3 linked regions of the Elephas maximus indicus genome follow. The protein of the gene in region 3 binds, or shares a complex with, the protein of the main gene of each other region. Links are inferred from orthologs where the notes say so. Each region holds a gene or a part of one and is shown on either strand. Other genes may lie near its edges.

Region 1 (7,218 bases), on a different chromosome or scaffold from region 3:
GAAAAAGAAATAAAAGGTATACATATTGGAAAAGAAGAAGTACCATATGACCCAGCAATTCCACTCCTAGGTGTATACCCAAAGGGCTTGAAGGCAGAGACTGGAACAGAGACTTGTACACCACTGTTCACGGCAGTACTATTTACAATAGCCCAAAGGTGGAAACGGCCTAAATGCCTATCGACAGATGGATGGATAAACAAAATATGGTACATAACATACAGTGGAATACTACTCAGCTAGCAGTAGAAATGAAATCTTGATATAGGCTACAATACGGATGGAGCTGGAAGACATTATACTCAGTGAAATAAGTCAACCACAAAAGGACAAATATTATATGACCTCACTTACATAAAAAGGCAAGAACAGGCAAATGCATAGAGAACAAAGTTTATCAGGGTCTACCCAGGGTGGGAGGGAGGGGGAAAGGGGGGCTAACAGTGAGGGAAATGTCTGCATTGATTAAGGGCAGGGTTGCACAGCAGATTATTGTAATTGTTGTTCAAAAGGTGTACACTTGTAAGAAGCTGAATTGGCAAAAGTTGCTAGGTAGACGTATTTACAACAATGACAAATAAAAAATAAAAAAGAGTAGCTGCTGAGGCTGCTTCGGTTCTTTGGTTTGGAGGTTTAGGGTCATGGTTTCCTGGGACATCCCAGTTAACTGGCCTCATGATGTGTTTGGTGCTTCTGTTCTACCTCCTAGTTCGTTGCTTAGTGCCTGCGGTCTTTAAAGCTTAAGCTTGCAAGCAGCCCTCCAAGGCACAACAATTGGTCTCTATTCACTTTTTGTAACAAAGGAGGAAGAGTAGGGATAGGAAGAGGATTCGGAATGTGTGGCTAATTGCCTTCATGAACAACTGCGTCCTTTGCCTTGAGACCAGAACTGGATGGTGCCTGGCTACCATTACTGTAGAAGGATCATGATCAAAGGGGGGAAATGCAGAATAGAATTTCAAATTTTTATGGACTCTTGACCTCCTGGAGCTCTGACAGTTGAATAAGCCCCTGAAACTATTCCCCTGAGATAATCTTTAAAACTTAAAACAAAAATATGCCCTGAAGTCTTCTTAAAACCAAACAATAGTTTAACTTTACTAGTTAAAAATGTCTGCCTTGAACATTATGCTCTTTTAAGGACTATTTATACCGGATCAAATTGACAATACCAATTCAAAGGATGAGATGGGAACCTGAGGGGGCAGTGAATTGATGTTAATGGTTCGAGAACATAATCAGCATCACTAAGCGGTAAATGTAGAAATGGTTGAATTGGTATATGTTTGCTGTGTATGGAGCCCTGGTGGTGCAGCAATTAAGCTTTCAGCTGGTAACTAAAGGTCCACAGTTCGAATCCACTAGCCACTTTTGGAAACCCTATGGGGCAGCTCTACTCTGTCCTATAAGGTCGCTATGAGTTGGAATCGACTGTATGGCAACGGGTTTGGTTTTTTTGGTTGCTGTATACATTCTCAACAACAGAAATTTTTAAAATTTATATCTTTTAAAATATTTTCAAGAACATTTTGTAGTTATCAATGTATAAATTGTGACTATTATTCTTACCAACCCAACCCAGTGCCGTCGACTGATATTGAAATATTCTTAGGTATTTGATTTTTATACTATACATTTTTTAGTTGTTCCCGGTATATAGAAATACGATTAGTTTTTTTGGAATTGATTTTGTATCCATTGATTTTTCTAAATTCACTAATCAACTTTAAGTTTACTTGTAGAAGTTTCGGGGATTTTCTACACACCCAATCACATCATGTCAGTTTTATTTCTTCCTTTCCTGTCTTCACATCTTTTTATTTCTTTTTCTTCCCTTATTGCACTGGCTAAGACTCCCAGCCCAGTGTTCAATAGACATAATGAGCTCTGGTAACCTTTCTCATTCCCAACGTCAGTGGCAAAGAAGTTCAATACTGCACCATGAAGCATGATGTTAGCTCTAGCTTTTTTGTTTTTTCCTTTGTTTGTTTGGAGGATTTTTTTTTTTGCTTTGTTGTTTTTTGTTTTGGGGGAGTCTCAAAAAGTTCCCTTCTATTTTATTTTGCTAAGAGGTTTTTCTTGTTTAAATCATGAATGAGTGTTTTCTGCATCTAATGGAAAGGTCCTAGGACTTTTTCTTTCTCTGTTAAAGTGGGGAATACACTGATTTTTGGATGGTAAACCAACCTTACCAGCCTTTTTTTTTTTCCCACGGGAGTTCGCCAGTGCAATTCCACTAAAATGACTGGACAAGAGGACATAAAGTCTATCGGGTGCGCACCCCTGGAGTCGCCCCTTCCCCCCATACTCACACTCCACATTTCAGGTCTCACAAGAGACTCACCCCCTCAAAAAAAAAAAAAAAAAAAAACCCACAGGCTTCTTGCCGGTGAGGCCAGCGCCAGTCCCGTCTCTTGACAACCAGCTGGACCCTTATCCCGCAGACCGCAGCGTTGCGAGGGCAACTAGATAGGGAAAGTCAAGACCCCGGCAACCCACCACCCGCAAAAACCAGGACTCTCCAGGGCCCGTACGCCCGGCCTCCCACACCCATCCTGCGCCAGGCTCCTTTAAGAAAACCGGCGCGGAGCGCGTCTCTGGAGCTGGAGGCGGAGGGCGCCAAGAATGCCGGACTCCGACGGGAGCGCAGGGGCATGAGGCTTCTCCGGGTGGCCTCCCCCTCTGTGTCCCCCCAACATGTCCACCCACAGTCGTCCGGCTCCTGCTCCCAGCCCGCCACCCCCAACCTCGAAGGCCCCTCCTCGCCGGCAAAGCCCCTGGGTCCAGCCGCGCTCCAGCCTCGATGCTCCACCCCAGCCCGGATCCAACCCCGGCCCCCTCCCACCCTGGCCCGCCCCGCGGCCGTCGGACCCCGGCCCGGCCCCCCGCATGCCCCGCGGCCGCGGGCGGGGGAAGGACGGGGCGCCCGGCGCGACCTCATCCACATGCAGGGGACGGCGCGGCGCGGCGGCCGCCAGGAAAGGACAAAGGCTGTTCCGCCGCCGGCCTGCACCATGCCAGGCTCGCCCCGCCCGCCGCCCCGGTGGCCCTGTCGCGGCCCCCTTGCGTCTGTCTTGCCGGCCGGGGCTACATAATCCGAACAGCTAACGGGCGGAGGCTGCCCCCCTGGGGCCCACACTACAGAGCCCCTCCCGCGACCCCGGGGGCCACAGCTCCTCCCTCTGTGTCCCCTTGGCAGTAGAGGTGGCCTGGCCTCCTTGAACCCCCTAGCTGGTGCCGTGCTGGACTACCCGCGGCCTGCGTCAAGGACCAGAGTTCTAGTTCGCTGAACCGGCCTCTGACCTGTGAGCAGCCGCCTGCAATCAGGACTTCCTGCCAGAAGCCAATGGGTGGAGACGGGCAGAGCGCTCTCCAGGACTCCCACAAAGGCCTGGACTCCCCTCTGGATGAGGGTTAGGGCTCCGGGTCTTTACCCCGACTCCATTTCCCCATACATTTGATCCCAGGTGCATAGAGTCTCCTGTCGCCTCGTAGAGGCCCCGGGGCACAGCTCCCACCCCTCCCACAGCCGGACCTCACCGGGCCATCACCGCCTGGACGCCGAGGAGGCCCAACCACTTGCTCTGTGAACTCTGTTACTTAGCTTTGGGCCTCAGCTTCCACCTGTAGAAAGTGCACAGCATTCATTCTACACATCGACACTCTCCAGGGTCTGTGCCAGGATTTAAGGAGTATGGAAGTGGAGGAGCCCAGGTGGCGCAGTGGTAAAGAGCTTGGCTGCTAACCAAAAAAAGGGCAGTTCAATTTCACCAGCTGCTCCTTGGGAACCCAATGGGGCACTTCTACTCTGCCCTATAGGGTCGCTATGAGTTGGAACTGACCTGACGACAATGGGTTTGGCTTATTTATTTACTTATTTTTTTGAAGTGCAGGCACACAGCGGATTCTCAGGCCACGGACAGTTGTTACTCTTGCCAGCTTCCTCAGCCTCCTTGAGAGCAGGGGCAGTCTTGCCCCGCGAATTAATAGAACTGCGCAATGGGGCCCCTTCCTCCGCTCAACTAAATTAAGAAGTTTTCCTAAATCTGCCCCCAGTCCCCTCCTTCCTTTCCTGGCCAGGACTGGGTGGTGGGGAGCAAAGGGGGTTCCCTTTAAGGGAGGTGGGGGAAGGGGCTGCCGGCCAGCCCTCCTTCCGCCCCTGCCTGGCCCGGGCGGCCCAGGGCCCGGGTCCCGGGCCCCGGGCCAGCGCATGCGCCCGCCTTTGGGCGCTGTCCGGGCTCGAGGGCAGCGCGCGCACAGACAGACGACCGAACGGACTGGCTGCCGGCCGGACAGACTGGGGAGCGCTGGGAGCGGGGACGCGGCGGGACAGCGACATGGCGGGGCACACGCAGCAGCCGAGCGGGCGCGGGAACTCCATCCCCGCGCCCTCGCCCTCCCCCAGCCCAGGCCCCGGCCTCGGCGCCTCGGAACGGGTGGCGCTCAAGAAGGAGATCGGGCTGGTGAGCGCCTGCACCATCATCATCGGTGAGCGGGGCCCGAGGCGGGCGGGTGCCCAGGACAGCGGGGCCGAAGGCTGGGGGCTGTACAGCGGCTCGGAACGCGGGCACCTCCTCTCCGGGCGCTCCTACCGGGTCTGCGACGGTGAGACCACCGGCGGGTGGACACGGGACCACCTGCAGTGTCTCCCCGCAACGTGCGATCTGACAGTCAAGGCAAAGGCTGACAGAGCGCCCACACAGCTTCCTGTTCCCACTTCCCCAGGCGCCCCGAATTTTTTTTTTTTTTTAACCTGAGAAAGATTCAGGTCTTGTTCACCGCTGGAATCTTCGCCATGCCTTTACTTGGTTGTGGGACTTTGGCAAGTCAAGTACCCTCAGTTTTTTCATCTGTGAAATGGAAATAATGACTACAGCCCTTCCTTGAGAGCCAGAGCCTTTCTAGTGTGGGGCTGGGCAGGCAGGCCCCCTGAGATCCTAAGTTCTGGGCCATGACACCCGCTGAACCCCTGCTGTGTGCAGGTGCATTGTGGCACAGGTGATTTATTCTTCTAAAGCCAGCCCACAGGGGAGAGGAGCTCAGAGCAGGTAATCACTGCAGAGTTTGGCAGGAGGATGCAAGGGAAGCAGCCAGTGGCTGGGGGAGACCAGAGATGGAGTGGACAGCCCAAGCCTGCCTGAAGACCAGCACTCCCTGGGTGGGGGTCCTGACATTTGCAGCCTCCAGCCCTCTGGTCCAGCTTCCACCTGTGAGTGGATGGGTTTGTCCAGCCCCCAGTTCGGTGAGCAGAGGGCTCAGGAGGAGAGAATGGTGATTGGGTTTTTCTCCTTCTGCCCCAAGTCACAAACTCTGGCTCCTTGGGAACTGGGCCTGGGTCCCCATCAGGTGCCTCTGTGTCCCCTCCTGGGGGGACCTGTTCTGTCACCTGTGTCCCAGGAGATGGATGCCTGGGGCTTTGACCGTTCTCAGCCTACTGCCTGTCCAGCCTCCCCCTTCCCCAGCCAGTGGCAGTTGCTTGTGCATCGAGCATCCCGAATGGCCACCCACTCTCAGACCCCTGAAAATGGAGAAAGCGTGGTGGCTCAGGAGGCCAGGCCCAGAGTCTCCACTTCCTCCTCCTCTGCCCCCACACTGGGAGCTCCCAGGCCAGGGTTGGGGCTGACTCTTGGCTGCCCTCACACTTTCATTGAGCATTTCCCCTGGACTCAGCCCCTAGGCAGGTAGCTCTGCTGTCTCACGCACTTGCCCCTAGAGTGGTATGTCCCAGGAGCTGACCCTGCATGTCCCTGCCTGGCTGTCTGCTGGGAAGAAGGGCTAGCCTCCCCCACTTGGCTGGGGGACTGGTTCGAGCTTTTCCCTGCCTCCCACTCTCCCTAGGAGCTGCCCTCCTCCCAGGAAGAGGAAACATGCTTGTCATAGACCGGCAATGGTGCCAAGAGGATGGCCATGTCTGGGGCCAAGTTCAGGGCCTGGCAGATGCAGGAAGAGACACAGCTCTTCCTGGGCTGCCTCTCTTAAGCCCAGCATCTTAAGCTGTATTCCTACCCTGCCCCTCACAACCCACCCTCCTCAGGTCAGGCAGAGGCAGCCAGGCCTCTCTCTCTCCCTGAAAGATGGCCGTGTTGGTGGAGGGGGAAAGAGGCCTAGCTTAAACACCACACCCCTTCTCTGGGGCAGACCCTGTAGAAATTTTCCCCTGGTCTACCCTTACAGCTCTGCCACCCTTCAGTCCATTCTTGTTGTTCCAGGTTCTCCTCCCACCCTGTTACCCCCAGACCTTGAAGGCTGATCTGGGGAGACCAAGGCACGGGATGAGGGGTGACTTGGCCAAGGGCACTGGATGCAGGACCAGAACCCCTAGCCGAGGGCACTCAGTGGGGGTCCCATGACCCTGGTTTGGGAAGCGTGGAGGGTTACAACAGGGCAGGAGGCTGGACTGGGCAGGAGACAGGCAAGGGGAGAAGTAACCTGAACTAGAAAGTGACAGGGAGATGAGGGTGAGGCAGTTGTAGATAAATCAGGATCTGCATTGTCCTCGCCACCTGATTTTTGAGAACCATGAGTCCTGCTCTATAACCTGTCCTTGTTTGTCACCACTTACTGAACTTATCTCTAAAGTGTCCCAACAGAGCCCCCAGGCGATCCTGTTCTTCCTTCACGCTCTACCCCCCCACCCCATCCCAGGCTGAGGAGCGGGGCTTCAGGACTGGGGAGCTGAGGCAGGGCTATGAGCAAGGGCAAGGTTCCACCTGAACCATGTTCAGGACAGCACCTGCTGGCCGCTGCAAGGAGGCGCTAGAAGGGACAGGCCAGAGAGAGCAGGGCAAGCTGAGGCAGGAGCCGAGAAGGACAACATTGTCACATCCAGTATTTGTTCATACACCTCTTAGTCCGTTACGGTATGAAAACACATGTTCCCCCTTTGCAAGATGAGAATTTTTATACCCATTTTACAGATGTGGAGACTGAGGGTTGGAAGTTAAGAGACACTGCTGTAAGTGTTGGACCTTGAATTTGGAGCCAGATTTGGACCCAGGTCTGAGTAACCCCAGTCCAATGCCCTTCTTCATACTGACCCGGTGCTGGACAAAATTGAGGCCAGATTCAGTGCGGGGGAAGGCTGGGGATTAAGCTAGGTTTCCCGAGCTCACCTGACCAGGGTTTACTGCGCTCCCAACTCCACTGTGGACAAACAGGTGGACAGAGAAGTGCCTCCGGGGGCTGTACACACAGGGTCTCTCTTTCTGACTCAGGGAT
Region 2 (8,080 bases), on a different chromosome or scaffold from region 3:
TGAGTTGGAATTAAAAGCACCAAACAACAACAGTGCTGGGTTGGCTTCATGGGAACAGGCCAAGTGCAGCAGACAGAAGAGTAATATGCTGGAATTTTTGTCTCAAGTGTCAGAGTAAGGATTCATCATTATCTCCAGAAGAGCATGAATTAATTGACCATCATAACAAACTGGAACCTGCTTATAGTAGTTTCACCCAAATTCTCAGGAGTGCATAAATCCCAGAAAATACAACTTCCCTCGAACTTATGAATATGTCCAAAAGGCAAACAGCATACTAACTGATTGATTTGTCTTTTTTATTTCCTTCCTTTTCTTTCACTAATTTTCATCTGCTTTCAGTTTTTAAATGAAATAAAGGCTCCTAGAGCCAATGGCTTTGGAAGCTACTGCCTATTTGACCATAGGCGAGGGCCACTGGTAAGCTGGATTTAATCTAAATCAGATTTCCCTCTGGCTCCAGGAATGTAAGTATAAGAAGAATGGAGTGGGAGCGTGGACTGTGAGTTTCCTCCAGGCAGAGATTTGAGTCCTCTCTAAGTGACCTCAAACTGCACAGCTCTGTTCCAAAGAACAAAAATAAAGTGCTTGTCTATTGAACTCAGAAAAAAAATTAAGAATGGAGTGAATGAACTTTGTGCTCTATTCCTTTGTGTTCAGATGCTTCTTACCTGTTACCTTAGTCGTTTAGTGCTGCTATAACAGAAATATCGCAAGTAGATGGCTATAACAAAGAGAAATTTATTCTCTCACAGTTTAGGAGGCTGGAAGTCCAAATTCAGGATGCCAGCTCCAGGGGAGGTCTTTCTCTGTGGGCTCCGAGGTAAGGTGCTTGTCATTGATCATCCCCTGCTCTAGGAGCTTCTCAGTGCAGGGACCCCGGCTCCAAAGGACACGCGCTCCTGGCTCTACTGTCTTGGTCATAGGGTCCCCATGTCTCTCTGCTTGCTTCTCCTTTATATCTCAAAGGAGACTGATTTAAGAAACAACCTAATCTTGTAGATTGAGTCCTGCCTCACTAACATCATAGAGGTAGGATTTACAGCACATAGGAAAATCACGTCAGATGACAAAATGGTGGACAATCACACAATACTGGGAATCATGGTCTAGCCGAGTTGACAAATATTTTTTGGGGGACACAATTCAACCCATGACACCTGTTGTTTCAAAAATATTGGAACATGGTGGTATTTTTATTATTTAACTCATACAAGTAGCATGTGTCCATGCCATGTCCCTCTTTGTGCAGTAGGTGTCAGCCATACACAGCCTTTCTCTTCCCAAATCCGTATTTAGAAGAAACCAACCCTTTCACCCACCCGCTCCTAGGTTAAAGGAATCAATTTCTTCTATCTTAAGCATGCAAAACAACTGTAAATAGTCACCTAGGTATTGGAAACAGAGTTGTACTAAAGTACTATTCTACTTGGAAAATGGACAAACTGAAGACTGTGTGAAAGGGATAACACATGGTGGTGGTGGGAGACCCAGATTAAGTCACTGAACAGATATTAAATGCTGCCATCAAGATGGGTCTCTAAAAGTCACAGTTATATGCCAGTTCAAGAAGATGAGGCCATGTTCCTGATTAAAAGTCTTCTGTTTCCCCCAGGTGAAAGAAGCTGAAGCATTAACAAGTAGCTCTAAAAATGAAGCATCATTTTGCCTGGGAAAAGTGCCATTGATATCCCTCTTGGTAGTGAGTAGATTAAATGTATTGTCTTTGACCTAAGGTAAACACTTCTCTAAGCCTCAGCTTCCTAATTTTTAAAATGGGAAAAATAACTGCCTTGTGTACTCAAAGTTTTTTTTTATTGTAATTTAAATGAAGGTTTACAGAACAAACTAGCTTCTCATTTAACAGTCAGTACACGTATTGTTTTGTGACATTGGTTACCAACCCCACGACATGTCAGCACTCTTCCTTCTCGACCTTGGGTTCCCTATTACCAGCTTTTCTGTTCCCTCCTGTCTTCTAGCCCTTGGCCCTGGGTTGGTATGCTCCTTTAGTCTCATTTCCTTTTATGGGCCTGTCTAAACTTTGGTTGGAAACCCTGGTGGCATAGTGATTAACGTCACTATGTCAGCAGTTCAAATCCACCAGGTGCTCCTTGGAAACTGTATGGAGCAGTTCTACTTTGTTCTATAGGGTCGCTTTGAGTCGGAATTGACTTAACAACAACGGGTTTGGTTTTTTTTTTTTTAATCTTTGGCTGAAGAGTGAACCTAAGGAGTGACTTTATTACTGAGCTAAAAAGGATGTCTGGGGGCCATACTCTTAGGGCTTTTCCAGTCTCTGTCAGGCCAGTAAGTCTAGTTTTTCAAAGTTTTTAATGAGGAGGAAAAAAAGACATATTGTGCATAAAACAGTTTGTAGACTGTAAAGTACTATTTAAATGTAGAGAATGGATTAAAAATATAAATGCAAAGGTAGAGTTAAGAATAAAGAAGAATTCAGTGCTCAAATTTTAACAAACTTTCATTAATCATTTCTACAAATTTTTTTGCAGCACATTACACCAAGACCCTTCTTTCTCTCCTGTGTTCAATGCTAATCACATGGGATTTTGACACACCTAGAGTTTATTTTCAAAAAAAATCTCAACCTCAAGAAAGCCACAGAATATGAATACATGGTCCATTTGAAGGAGGAAAGATTACTTTCCTAGCTTTATATTGCACCATTAATAGTCATAAACTACTTGTAAATGCTAAGTGTTAAAATAATAGAAACATTAATCTTCAACAACCATTCCTTTCCAGTTTGGTACACTTTTACCATTGTGGAGCCCTGGTTGTGCAGTGATTGAGAACTTGGCTGCTAACCAAGATGTCGCCAGTTCAAGGATCCAGGAAACCTTATGAGGCAGTTGCTATGAGCCAGAATCAACTAGGTGGCAACGGGAGTACCATTGTATCCCAAGAATGTATTTGATCCTATAACTCCTCCTTAGCTTCTTAATTCATAAACTGAGATTGCTAAACTTACCATATCGTGATGGGTTTACACGGATTTTGGCAAGGGACCTTGACTTCATCATATTCACGTTTTATAGCCTGTATTAAATCTAAATCATTTAAATATGAAATACAAAACATTACTGAAAAAATGCACATTTGAAAAGCAGGAAGATTATTTGCCTTATACCTTGATGGTGAAATCTGAGCAGAAGTCTTCAAATTGGATTGTTTAAAAATGAATCCACCAAATTTTCCCTCAAAATCTTTTCATTTCCTATGACTCATCCTCTCCTGTAGAGTTTTGTGCTATATTCCCTGGCTGCCTTTCTTTTTGTTGAAAATCCTCTTTATACCACCCCACCCCCTGCTTCTTTTTTTTTTTTTTTGCTGAGGCTTTCAATTTGTTATATCTTGAACTGACAGAAGAAGGGGTGGGACTCCCAACCTTTGAAACCTCTAATACTTGCTGAGTGATCAAGAAGCAGAGTGAAATACTGACTAGACTTTACCCCATTTGGAAAAGTCTTGACTTCAATAGTTCAACCAGCCCCATTTTAAGAAATTAAGTTTCTTATTTTTCTTAAAATCCAAAATGTTTTGGAACATTTTCCAAAAGGCAAAGCCAAATTTCTATAGTTAGTGGTCAGCTTGAGAAACAGTATTTTTAGACCTACTTTAAAATCAAATCGCTTTGCATAATATATTTAATTGTTGTTGTTAGTTGCCATCAAGGGGATTCTAACTCATGGTGACGCCATGTGTGCAGAGTAGAACTACTCCATAGGGTTTTCAAGGCAGTAACCTTTCAGAAGCAGGCCTGTCTTCCAAGGCACCTCTCAATGGGTTGGAATCGCCAATCTTTCAGTTAACAGTCAAGCTCTTAACCATTTAAGCCACCTTTTTATATTAGATGTTTAGTCCTGTCTGTTATACTGCTTCATGCTGTAGTATCAAAGTACTTTACTACTATAGATAGACATCATTGCTCTCACTGTAAGGCAGCAGTTTCTGGATGAAATTCTTCAGGGAAGCCAAAGCACAATAGCAATGTGGTTGGTTGTTGTTGTGTGCTACCCATTGATTCCGACTCATAGCAACCCTGTATGGTAATGTTAGTCATTTCTGACACCAACAAGTCAATTCTTACACTAACTCGGCAAGCTGTTGATAATCCCTGCCCCCCCATCTGCTTTTTAAGTCATACTCATACTCCTGACTTAAAAAGCAGATGGGGATTATCAACATCTCACTAAATTGATTTAAGAATTGACCTGGTGACACGTTGGTGTCAGAAATGACTAACATTACCATACGGGGTTGCTGCAAGTTGGAATCAACTTGACGGTAATGCGTTTTATATTTTTGGCTTTTTAAGTAATTTATAGATGCAAAAATATATTAGGAATCGTGAAAGGCCCCCATCCAACCAGATTTTGTGTCATTCTTTCCCGAAACAGGGTGGGTAGGAGTCCTGTCTCAGCCACCTTTAAATAAGAGCTGTGAACAGTGAGACTATCTCCTCTTTCTGGTGATTTTGTTTCCTCTACAATCGTCATAGCTCAGAAGCACACTAAATGACCCTCTTTGCCATTATTATAACCAGTATTATTTCTATACCCCTCCCTCACAAGTGGATTCCCCTCCCCCATGTTCAGAAACTTGAAGCCTATAACCTTCTCTTCTGTAGCCTCAAATGACCCAGAGTTAAAAATTTTAAAATACATCAGCTAGTTTATTTCTGTTGGTGTTCACAGTGTCTGCACAACTGTTCCTTGTTTATATAGCTCACAAATGCTGTATGACCTGTCACGCTATACTAGTTAATGAACTCTCCCAGAACCGTTGACATGGAAGGATTTTACTTCCACTTCGTTTCAAGGAGACGGATGTAGAAAGAGAGCCGATTACAGAAAGAAAGAATTGAAAATCTTTTCTCAGAGATCCGTGGGGCCGTGTGGTAATATTTAAATTGAAGGGGAGGGAGGAGACAGGACTGAGGATGGAGAGGAACCGGGGCGGTGGGGGCGGAGTCTAGTTTAGCAAATAAAAGCCCTCGATCAAAGGGAGGCACTTTCGTGTGTGGAGGAGGCACTCTCCTGTAATCCAGAGAGAGATGGGGCAGCCTGTGCCCTAAGGACGGCGATCCGAAGAAGGAAAACAAGGACGAGAAGACGGGCGAGAAATAAAAGGACACCAGGAAAGAGCGGAAGGCAGAAAGGGAAGGGAAAAGAAACCCACATCAGGTGGAAACAAGATCTAGAACAAACCGGTCGGGTCCACAGTTTGATTTTCTGAGAGAGAAGAAAGTACCTGAGGATTGCCTTTTTTTTTTTTTCCCCCTTCAGCTAATAGAAAACTACTTTTATCCTCATTATAAAAGAAAAAGCTAAGGGGAGGTAAAGACAATCTCTGTCTTATTAGGAGGAGAGCTGAAGGGGAGTCAGGCTGCCTTCTCGATAGTCTGAAATAAGCCACTGCTGGGTACACAGAGCAGAACCATCCTGATTTCTGAAGATTTGCATCCCTTTCGGCAGAATTCCAGAGAGAGTAGCTGGTACAGTTCTATTTTTATATTTAAATATATACGTCTCTTATTTTCCTTTTTAATCACACTTTCCTTGTTTGTAAGCACCGGTGACAAGAAAGTGCCCATACAGAGTAGTATTTTCAATTTCCCTTTTTTTTTTTTTTAAATTTAAATCTGCTTGTATCTTCTTTAGAGGGTAGAAGTGGTCCTTATTGCAGAAAAGGGCATTTTAATTTGAAGGCTTCCTCTAAATATATTTACACTCACACACACGCACACACATGCTCTTTTAGAAAGATACCTTTTGGAGGTTGAAATCCTACTGAGAAAGATGGAAAAAGGAGCCAGGCAACGAAACAACACTGAAAAGAACCACCCAGGTGGGACTGACTCAGATGCCAGCTCCAAGACTGGTTCCGGAGGGGATGGAGTAGCCCTGAAGAAAGAGATCGGATTGGTCAGTGCTTGTGGTATCATTGTAGGTGAGTCCAATTCCTTTTCCCACTGACCATTCCTCCCCTTCTCTGGTGCTCCTCTTGGGGGAACCTTAACACCTCTAAAGCACTATTTTTGCTTCCTACCCATTTAGAAAAGGATTGTCAGTCACGTTTGCTCTAACCTACCTGCGCTGGTCAAGGTCGAGAGGCATAGGAGTGGGCAAGTGATATATGTTATATATCAATTCCTCCAAGCCAACCTGAACAGTTCTGTCCAGTGTTCATAGGATGGAGCTGATAGGGTTCACAAGTTTGGCTGATGGTCAGCCTTGCCTGGGAGCTTGTTAAAAAATAGGGCTCTGGGTTCCACATTTAGAGGCTCTGATTCAGCAGGCGTGAGATGGGGGTGGTGGACTGAAATTTTTCACAAGCTCTCCTGCAGCCATCTCCTCAGCAGCCTGTGGGCTGGTTTTTGAGACGTATTTAATAGATGTTTTGTTGTTTCATGTTATGTGAAACCATATTCCTAGAGGGTGTGTAATAATAAAAACAGCGACAACAGCAGTAATGATATTTTGCACTCCTATAGCTTTTTCCATCTTATACAGCACTTTAACCTTGTGAAGTAGATGTGACAGAGCTGTTTTTCTCATTTCATGTGTGAGGAAATCATGGAAGAACAGAGGAGACAGATTGTGCCTTTTTGTAGATGGATAGTTTATAGTCTCTCTGGTTGCCTGATAGAGTGAACCTGTCTCTTACTGCTCACAGAAACCCCGATGAGGTTCTCCAGAGGCACTGAGGGTAACTAGAAGGTGGAGTCAGAGGGGAACTAATAGGTAAAATGTGTGTTCTGACTGGGAGGTTCTGAAGCTGCAGCTCCTGAGTGTCCCTGAGACTGCCAGTACAGGCAGCCCTGAGCCCCCATACACTCTGCAGGACCTGTAAACCCATTGTCCTTGAGTCGATTCCGACTCATGGCAACCCCATGTGTTACAGAGTAGAACAGCTCCATAGAGTTTTCTTGGCTGTAATCTTTATGGAAGCAGTTCCCCAGGCCTTTCTTCCACAGAGCTGCTGGATGGGTTCAAGCTGCCAACCTTTAGGTGAGCAGCTGGTCGCAAAGCACTTGCACCACCCAGGCTCCTCTCTATAGGACAGAGGGGTTCCTAATACGGCCGCACCTCTAGACAGCACATCCTCCTCTTTCCAGAGAGGCCCTCGAGATGGGTAGTTGGTAGTAGCTCACTACAGCCCTCACTTCGGCAGAAGTGGCTAGCAGGGCAAGTTTTTTCTATATTGTGGTAGAGAGCTTTTTTTCCTTCTTCCCAGAGAAAGGGGCATGGGACTGTCAGGCTTGGATATGTTTCTGTGTTATCTCTCCAGAATTCCTATGTGAAGGCTGATTGTGTCCTGGTTCCCATGGGTCCATTTCTCTGGGTGACACCATGTTTCAGGCAGTAGCACAGAGACTATTGGGCACCAGTGCAATAGTGACACTGGAGAACACCCTTGAAATCAAATAAAACCAGTCAAGGTATTTAGATAATCCTCTTCACCTCTGCACCCAGACTAACAATGATCATGTTATCTCCACTCTGTTTTCAAGATGGAATCTCATTTTATCTAATTCTCTGGCTCTGGGAGGCTTTTTAGGCATCTACAGTTATAAAAAAGGTAATATTATTTAAAAAATTTAGAGTCATGGTCTGAATCTCTCATTACTTCCCTTGTTTTCCCATCTCCTTTATCACTTTTGCTCTAAAAAATGAGATCAGCAAAGTACTCAATATGTACAGCACATGCCAATTGGAAGTCTATAAATAACCCGGAAGCTGTTACCCCTTTCACCAGTTTGACTGATAGGATTAAATGTTTACCTCCCTTTGGGAAGGCTGTGATTCATACACAGATATACACGCCCACAGGCACACAAACACACTCAAACCTCCTTCCTCCTATCTCAGCCTTGCTCACCCATCCCAGCATATGTGCAGGTATTCAAGGTTAGAGGGCATTTTCCTATGTACTGAGGTTGTTTTTATCTCTTCCATTAACAATTTTCAAAGACTGTGAAGAAATGGGGGTGTTTGGTATGATAAATATGATTTCAGTTAGGTGAATGTTACTTCTGATTTGTCCGTGTCATGGA
Region 3 (7,630 bases):
GAAGCTCAGCTGAAACCTGTCTGCTATGGGTGACCCTACTGGTATCCAAACACTGGTATATAGCTTCCAGCATCACTGCAACACCCAAACCCCCACAGCACGACAAACTGATAGATATGTGGGGGCACGCATTGTTAGTGGGAATGTAAAACCGTGCAGTTGCTATAAAAAAGTTTGATGGTTCCTCAAAAAGTTACAGAATTACCATATGACCCAGCAATTCCACTTCTAGATAGATACACCCAAGAGACTTGAAAGCAGGGACTCAAACAGCATTTGTACACCAGTGTTCATTGCAACATTATTCACAAACAGCCAAAAGGTAGAAACAACCCAAGTGTCCATCAACAGAGTAATAGATAAACAAAACGTAGTATAGCCATACAATAGAGTATTATTCAACCATAAAGACATATGAAGTTCTGATACATGCTACAACATGGATGCACCTTGAAAACACTATACAGAGTGAAATTAGTCAGACACAAAAGACACATATTACATGATCCCACTTACAGGAAATATCTAGAACAGGCAAATGCATAGAGACAGAAGGTTATTAGTAGTAACCAGGGGCTGGGGGATGGGGATTTACTGCTTAAGGAGTACTAAGTTTCTCTTTGGGCTGATGAAAAACCCTTGGGAATGGATAGCAGTGATGGTTTGCATGACATGTTGAATGTAATTAACCCCATTGATTGTACATTTAAAAATAGTTAAAATAGCAAATTTTTTGTTATCTATATTTGACCACAATAACTTTTTTTAAGTAGTAATCTTTTATAGTCCACATTTTTTTGTGTGTGTCTTGTTTAAGAAATCTTTTCTTTGAGGTCTAAAAGACATTCATCTGTATGTATACATATAGATATGCATATAAATATATATTTTTTATTGAACTTTAGATGAAAGTTTACAGAACAAATTAGCTTCTCATTAAACAGTACACATATTGCTTTATGACACTGGTTAACAACTCCACGACATGTCAACACTCTCCCTTCTCAACCTTGGGTTCCCTATCACCAGCTTTTCCATCCCTCCTGCCGCCCTCCCCCTCACATTCCTCACCCTTCACTTAGACAACCCTAGCAGTTCTCTGCTTTAGCGGTCGGTCTTCCTCCTGCGGGATTCTTGGTAACTACATTATTCTAACATGGTTTTCTCAAATGACAGCTGCCAAGTGAGTCCCTTTGGTTGGGGTCCGCCTCCTCTGCTTTCATCTCAGCCGCACTTTGACTTCCAAATGCTGAATTTCAAATGGTTGAAATCCTCAGGGCTTCTTGGCTGTCTGTTATTTTAGAGACAGAGCCTGGATGCTTTGTTTCTGGGTCCCTGGAATCATGCCTTGGGCTCTCTGGCAGAGTTGCAGAGTCTGTTGGACAGAGACAGTGTGACCATTCTTCTCTCTTGTCTCCCTCTCATCTTCACTCTGGATTTGGAGATTTTTTTTATCTGCCAGTAAAAATACCTTGGGGGCGGGTGGAGGTGGGGTGGATGGGTAACTTCCCTATCTTTTGGCTAAGATCAGGTAGTCCTCATCTCCTGGGAAGCACGTGATAGGGATTTTTGCAACAGGGAGTTAGAAAGGAGCTTTCTTTGTACACTTGGCCCTCTGCCTTGCAGGGCCCCATGCTGTCTGCCCGCCTGAGTGGAGAACACTCAGACTCATGACCTCATGTGGTCTTTTTTGACTGCTGAACTGCATTTTTTTTTTTTCCTGCTTTGCCACAGCCTTCTCTTGAAGGCAAAAGTCTTCTTGACAAATTATATACTTTGCATGTCCTATAGTAAATACTCAGTTTTATATTTGTCAGCACACAGTGTCAAATCTGAGGCTATCTAGTCACTGTCTGGCCTCTGTCTCCACTCATTCTCCGCTGCTGTCCTGTTTTTCCCTTCCCCCCAAACTTACAATTTTATTTCGGCTGACCAGTTATAAGCTTTGGTGTGCATAAACACCTTTATCTTGATACAGTGTTGTTTAAATTCCTGTTCATTTTTATTCCTTTAGCTTACCATGCTACTACTGCTGTTTCTAAGAAGGGAAATATTTGGGTTTGATTTATGTAGTTCATCCACTCCTTTACCAGACACTGATAAAGTGCCTATTGTATGCTCCCACTGAGCAGGCAGCTTCATTGACAGCTAGCCCATGGTCCCTGCCACTTGTCTTGAAGTGCAAACAGATACCCAGACAGGAAATGTAATAAACAAACGGGGCATGAGTTGTAGCAGAGATGGCCACACTGGAGGAAAAGTAATTCTGTCGGGGGAGTTGGGAAAGGCTGTAATTTAAGCTAGGTCTGGAAGAAGTAGGAGTTTACGAGGTAGAGTGGCAGAACAGGAAAGGCAAAACAGCAGAGGGAATGGCCTGTACAAAGATGCAGAGGTCTGAGAAAGCCTGATGTGTTCTGAAACTGGTAGATGTTCGAAGGCTGATATAGCTGGAACAGAAGGTGTGCTGTGTGAGAAGCTTTGGGGGGCAGGTAAGTTGTTAGCTTTATTACTAGATGTAGAAGGAATTGGCTTCATCCATCTGGAGCCATGGGGGGCTGTGAGTGAGATGTCATGTTCTTAGGGAGTGTTATGTGGGTCCATCTCAAGGAGAGCTTCTGACCCCACAGTTCTCAGTTTTCAGCAGTGAGTCTTCATGCTGGGGACAAAGTCTGTCCAGAGGCTCTGGTTGGCACTACTATCTGGCATGCCCAGGGTACCTTGGACCTTTTATCATCTTTGAGCACTCGTCAGAACCCCAGTCTCTACCACTTGCCTGCCTTCCCCTAGGAGTTGGTTCTAACTTCCCTGGGGTAGGGGTGGAGTATGGGCTTTGGGAGGTTGAAAGGGGCTGAGCCTCTTCACACCCTTGGCCCTTCTTTGGCACCCCTTTCCATCTACCATTAGGATCTTGGCTTTTGCTTTCTCCCAAATACACAGCCATCCTGGCTTCCAGCCCAGGTAGAGGAAGAAAGAACTTATTTCCTTCAGCTCTTCTCTGAAAATAACTCAGCTGGCACTGCTCAGGAACAAAAAGTTCCTGAGAATGTTGGCACATCACGGTGTTCATGTCTGGTGAGTCCCTACTGTGAACCTGTCTCTCTCCCACTTCCCATCTATCCAAGGACCTTTGTGACATGAATTTGGGAGATCTTCAAGGCCTCTGCAGAGCGTGCCCTCTCCAAGGCCTGGCATAGTGAAGTGACGGGGAGGTAGAGGACCCTGGCATCCTGGGGTGGTGGGTGTTAGGGGCTATTGAGTCAGCTCCGACTTGTGGCAGTTTTACATATAACAGAATGAAATGTTGCCTGGTCCTGCCCCATCCTGATGATTATTGGTATGTTTGAATCCATTACTGGGGCTTTTATGTAATGCCTTCCAACCTAGGGGGCTCTTCCAGCACTATATTGGACAATATTCTGTTGTGATCCATAAGGTTTTCATTGGCTAATTTTCGGAAGTAGATTGGCAGGCCTTTATTCCTAGTCTGTCCTAGTATGGAAGCTGCGCTCTCTGAAACTTGTTCACCATGGTGACCCTGCTGTCTTTGACATACCGGTGGTATAGCTTCCAGCATCATAGCAACGCGCAAACCACCCCAGAGACAGATGGGTGGTGGGCATCCTGGAGGAGTTTGGGATAATTTGTGGGAGGCCTTGCAAAGTGGGGGAAGAGTCATCTAGGAAAATGATGGATGCCTCTAGCTGAGGCCCACCTCTGGAACCTTGGCTACAGTCCCAGTCATCCCAGGTTGTCCATCACTCTTTTCTGGATGTCTGATTCCTAGTTGCCTGATATCCTGGCACCAGAAAGTGGGTGTAGGGTAGGGTAAGAAGTGGGGGTGTCAGTCTCAACTGTCCTGCCCAGACAAATTAATCTTAAAACATCATGGGGAAGACTGGGTTAGAGAATTCAATAAATTTGATGATCAGAGTCCTGTAGTAGGCACTCAGTAAATATTTGTTGCGTTATGAATTAGTTGAACTAAAATTTGAGTCTTGAAGGACGAGAGGGAGTAAGCCCTGCAGAGAAGCTAAGACCTAGTGCCAAGTACCAGAGGCCCAGAGAGGCAGGCTGGTGGGGGAAAAAGGCAGAAGTTGGGTCTGCCTGGCTCAGGGAGCGCTAGTAGCTGTGACAAATCGGAAAGCCCAGGAGGTGGCTTGGGTCTGGGGCAAAAAGGGGATGGTTTGGGGTAAGTCACCAGTCTTAGGAGTGGGCGAGGGCCTTGCTCTGCCGGTGCTGGGTTCCCCCACCCCCACCCTGACTTCCTGGCAGCCGAGGGACCCGCGGGGGTGGGGCGGACAAGTCACAGACTCCGCCTACTTAAAGGTGGCTCCAAGCCCGTGGCTCTTCTCAGCCATCCCAGCATCTCGGTGAAGTTGCCTAAGGGGCAGGTAACAAGTCGGAGATGGAGGATGGAGAATGCCGCATATTCCTCCCTATTTGTATTCGCAGGCGTGTTCCCACCATTGTTCCCCGTGTGGCACTCTCGCTGTCCTCCGGAACGAGGCTTCCCGAGCTTCCTCCTTAAGGGGCGGGCTGGCTCGGCCGGGGCGGAGCTCCCCTGGCTAATTTCCCGAGCGCGTTGCCCTGTTTCAGTCCTTGTAGCGGAAGCGGCTGAGTGCAGTAGTCCGGGGACCTGTCTGGGATCGGAAGGTCGGGGACTTCTCCGGCACTACCGGAGCGCAGGCTGCTTTTGTCCCAGGTTCCGCGGGCACAATGAACCACGACACCGAGGTGGACATGAAGGAGGTGGAGCTGAACGAGGTGGAGACTGAGAAGCAGCCGATGAACGCGGCGTCGGGGGCAGCCGTGGCCGTGGTGATGGCTGGCGGCGCCGAGAAGAACGGTCTGGTGAAGATCAAGGTGGCTGACGACGAGGCGGAGGCGGCCAAGTTCACGGGCCTGTCTAAGGAGGAGCTGCTGAAGGTGGCGGGCAGCCCCGGCTGGGTGCGCACCCGCTGGGCACTGCTGGTGCTTTTTTGGCTTGGCTGGCTGGGCATGTTGGCAGGCGCCGTGGTCATCATCGTGCAGGCACCACGCTGCCGCCAGCTGCCCACGCAGAGGTGGTGGCACAAGGGTGCGCTCTACCGCATCGGTGACCTTCAGGCCTTCCAGCCCGGCGAGGCGGGCAACCTAGCTGGTGAGGACGCGCCCCTCTCCTGTATATACCCCACCCTCCGGCCTCTGGTTTATACCCCACCCTCCGGCCTCTGGTTTAAGCCTCCTTTGGTTTTATCCCTAAACCCCACTTCTGCGTCTGGTGTCATTCCTCCCACCTTTGGTTTCCTCTGGGCAGACTACTCCGGTTCACCCTCCTTTCTACCCTTCTCAGGGTCTTGGAAGACTACCAGTGTCATAATCCCTTTCAGCTTTGAGGAAAAACTGTCGTTCTCCAACCCTCTTTCTCGATTGTGGCTGACTCATCATCCTCCCCTCCCTCTTGGCCCCAGGAGGCAGTCACAGCCGGTTTCAGAAGCAGAGCGCAAGGCTCCTTATTCTTACATCAGCTTCACTGAGTCTCGTGATGCAGTCTAAACCTATTCCGTCTTTGGACAGGATAGAGGAAACAGGTACCTCTTGTTTCAGGCCTGACTGAGCATCTGGATTACCTAAGCACCCTGAAGGTGAAGGGCATTGTGCTGGGCCCAGTTCACAACAACCAGAAGGATGATTTGGCTGGGACCAACTTGCAGGAAATTGACCCTACTTTTGGCTCCAAGGAAGATTTTGAAAGTCTCCTGCATTCGGCCAAAAAAAAGAGTAGGTACCTGGGGTTCACGAGGAAACAGCTAGAAAGCCTGGCCTTCTGGCCAGAGGACAGGCAGGATAAAATTTTTGTCTGATAGTCTCTATGTTCTCAGGGCTGGAACCAGGGAACTGTGTTAGATTGAAAGATGGATTTCTCAAGGGATTCGGGACTTTCTACTTGGCTGGACATTGAGCTGATCATTTAATTTTGGGGTTTCAGTGCCCTTATTTGCAGAATGTAAGGATTTTTTTTTTTTTAACTAGATTAATGGTTCTTAAGTTTGTAAAGTAGTGGAATCTTTTTTAAAAAATCCCAAATGAAATACTGCCTCACAACTCTTTATAGAGAAAAGTGTTTAGAAAGGGTTTATTTGGGAATGGGAACCCCGGGACCCCACAGCTCAGCCTTCTCTAACATCTGCACTACAGGATCTTAAGACCCTTGGTTGGTCACATCTGTGTTTCAAAGGAATGGGTTTTGTCAGGGTTCAAATCCAAGCTTTTATACCTGGTAATGCATAGGAAACATTCAGCAGAATTGTGTGTGTTATTTTTTCCTTTCCCTTCACTCAGAGTCTTTCTCACAACTGCCTCTTCCTCCATTGTTCCAGGCATCCAGGTCATTCTGGACCTCACTCCCAACTATAGGGGCCAGAACTCGTGGTTTCTCCCTACTGAGGTTGGCACTGTGGCCACCAAGATGAAGGTGAGTGTGTTGGGCTTGATGGCAGACGGGAGCCAGATGCTGGGGTCGTCTTGGTCCTTTCTCAGGAAGCCTCGTACACTTAGTCCCAGGTCCTGCTGAGGGGCCCCTTGCCTCTTGGAGCCAAGCAGGATTGCCTCCTCCCTCAGCAGGAAGGATAGGCCAGCAGTCTCCCCATTTTTTCTTGTTCCTTTTCGGACTACTCAGTTTTCTTGTTTCTCTGACTTTGTGGGTGACAGTGCCAGGAAGGGAATATCTCAGATGTGAGTCTGGAAGTTTGACTTTCCTTCCTTTGGGGAAAGGAAGCACTTTCTGTGTGGGAATTCTGCCCTGATTGATTTCTCAGTTCTTGTTTGATGTGTCTTGGGTGGAACTCAGTGTGAAATTGTAAGTACTGGGGCTTCCTGTGTATCTGGGACTGTGCCAAGTATTTTATATACATTTTTCAATCTCCTGTATAACCATGGGCAGTATCCGCCATTATTCTTAATGTGTAAACAAGGAAGCTAAGGTTCAGAGGGGCCTGGTGTGCCCAAGGTCTCTCAGCTAGTAAAGGCTTTGAAGTCCCAAGTAATCTACTTCTCAAGTCTCCCTTACCTTAAGGTGTAGGCTCAAACTCTACTCAACAGGCTGGGAATGGGGCTTTGAACACGGCTCCAGCTCCTGATGCCTGGGTTCTAGGGCACTGACCAGTTCAGAATGGGTAGAACAGACATGGAGGCAGACTCTGACACTTTCTGGCTACTGTGATTTTGACCTTGGATTTCCAGCATTTGGGTAGGACCCTTGGGGTTATCTAGTTTAGCCCTAGCCAATGGTTCGAAGATCCTTTACAAGTTACTGATAAGGGAATGTTTTCAGATGGCATGTTGTGTGGGGTGGTAGCCTCAGATGAAGATGGAGGAGACGGTACATGGAGCAGTGAGAGAAAGGGAAGAAAAGGTACAGTGGAGGTGGGGTTCCATGGTGTGTGCCAGAGAGATGCCAGGTCTTCAGGCCTGGGCCTGTTCTGCAGAGCTGGCTTCCTCTTTTCAAACCTTCGTCTGAACTGCCTTAGGGCTGTGTTTCTAATTTCAATCTTTCATCCTTGGCCTGTTGGGTCAGGTTCTTTTACTCACACTCTCCCCAGGAAAATATAGTTGGAAAATATAGTTGTCTTGTCGTCCTGAGACTGACATT

What was found.
Region 1: the proteins of SLC3A2 (region 3) and SLC7A10 are in contact, whole or in part, in a cryo-EM structure (PDB 8WNT), measured with the Homo sapiens proteins. The link is inferred for Elephas maximus indicus from reciprocal best matches to the Homo sapiens genes SLC3A2 and SLC7A10. Residues at the interface, in NP_002385.3 of Homo sapiens: Phe161, Thr162, Gly163, Leu164, Lys166, Leu169, Leu170, Val172, Ala173, Trp178, Arg182, Leu186, Phe189, Trp190, Trp193, Met196, Leu197, Ala200, Ile203, Ile204, Ala207, Pro208, Arg209, Cys210, Arg211, Glu212, Leu213, Arg534; in NP_062823.1 of Homo sapiens: Leu147, Val150, Phe151, Asn153, Cys154, Pro157, Ala160, Val163, Leu164, Met166, Ala167, Met170, Leu171, Trp174, Ser352, Val359, Glu481, Thr484, His485, Trp486, Gln488, Glu489, Leu490, Phe492, Val493, Val494, Tyr495, Gln497.
Region 2: the proteins of SLC3A2 (region 3) and SLC7A8 are in contact, whole or in part, in a cryo-EM structure (PDB 7CMI), measured with the Homo sapiens proteins. The link is inferred for Elephas maximus indicus from reciprocal best matches to the Homo sapiens genes SLC3A2 and SLC7A8. Residues at the interface, in NP_002385.3 of Homo sapiens: Thr162, Gly163, Leu164, Ser165, Lys166, Glu167, Leu170, Ala173, Gly174, Trp178, Arg182, Leu185, Phe189, Trp190, Trp193, Met196, Leu197, Gly199, Ala200, Ile203, Ile204, Ala207, Arg209, Cys210, Arg211, Leu213, Lys532, Arg534, Asp558, Gln559; in NP_036376.2 of Homo sapiens: Leu147, Leu150, Phe151, Pro152, Thr153, Cys154, Phe155, Pro157, Ser159, Gly160, Leu163, Leu164, Ala166, Ile167, Leu170, Leu171, Trp174, Gln294, Ser352, Met356, Val359, Glu481, Thr484, Leu485, Gln488, Lys489, Met490, Cys491, Val492, Val493.

What each region holds. Positions count from the first base shown.
Region 1 is NC_064839.1:15,224,577-15,231,794, reverse strand, and holds the start of SLC7A10 (asc-type amino acid transporter 1), read left to right. Parts: upstream 1-4,192; 5' UTR 4,193-4,337; coding exon 4,338-4,488; intron 4,489-7,218. UniProt on the Homo sapiens protein: Associates with SLC3A2/4F2hc to form a functional heterodimeric complex that translocates small neutral L- and D-amino acids across the plasma membrane. Preferentially mediates exchange transport, but can also operate via facilitated diffusion.
Region 2 is NC_064828.1:34,543,885-34,551,964, reverse strand, and holds the start of SLC7A8 (large neutral amino acids transporter small subunit 2), read left to right. Parts: upstream 1-5,040; 5' UTR 5,041-5,518; exon of another isoform or gene 5,519-5,784; 5' UTR 5,785-5,822; coding exon 5,823-5,973; intron 5,974-8,080. UniProt on the Homo sapiens protein: Associates with SLC3A2 to form a functional heterodimeric complex that translocates small and large neutral amino acids with broad specificity and a stoichiometry of 1:1.
Region 3 is NC_064825.1:126,011,156-126,018,785, forward strand, and holds the start of SLC3A2 (4F2 cell-surface antigen heavy chain), read left to right. Parts: upstream 1-4,605; 5' UTR 4,606-4,716; coding exon 4,717-5,140; intron 5,141-5,586; coding exon 5,587-5,760; intron 5,761-6,359; coding exon 6,360-6,454; intron 6,455-7,630. UniProt on the Homo sapiens protein: Acts as a chaperone that facilitates biogenesis and trafficking of functional transporters heterodimers to the plasma membrane.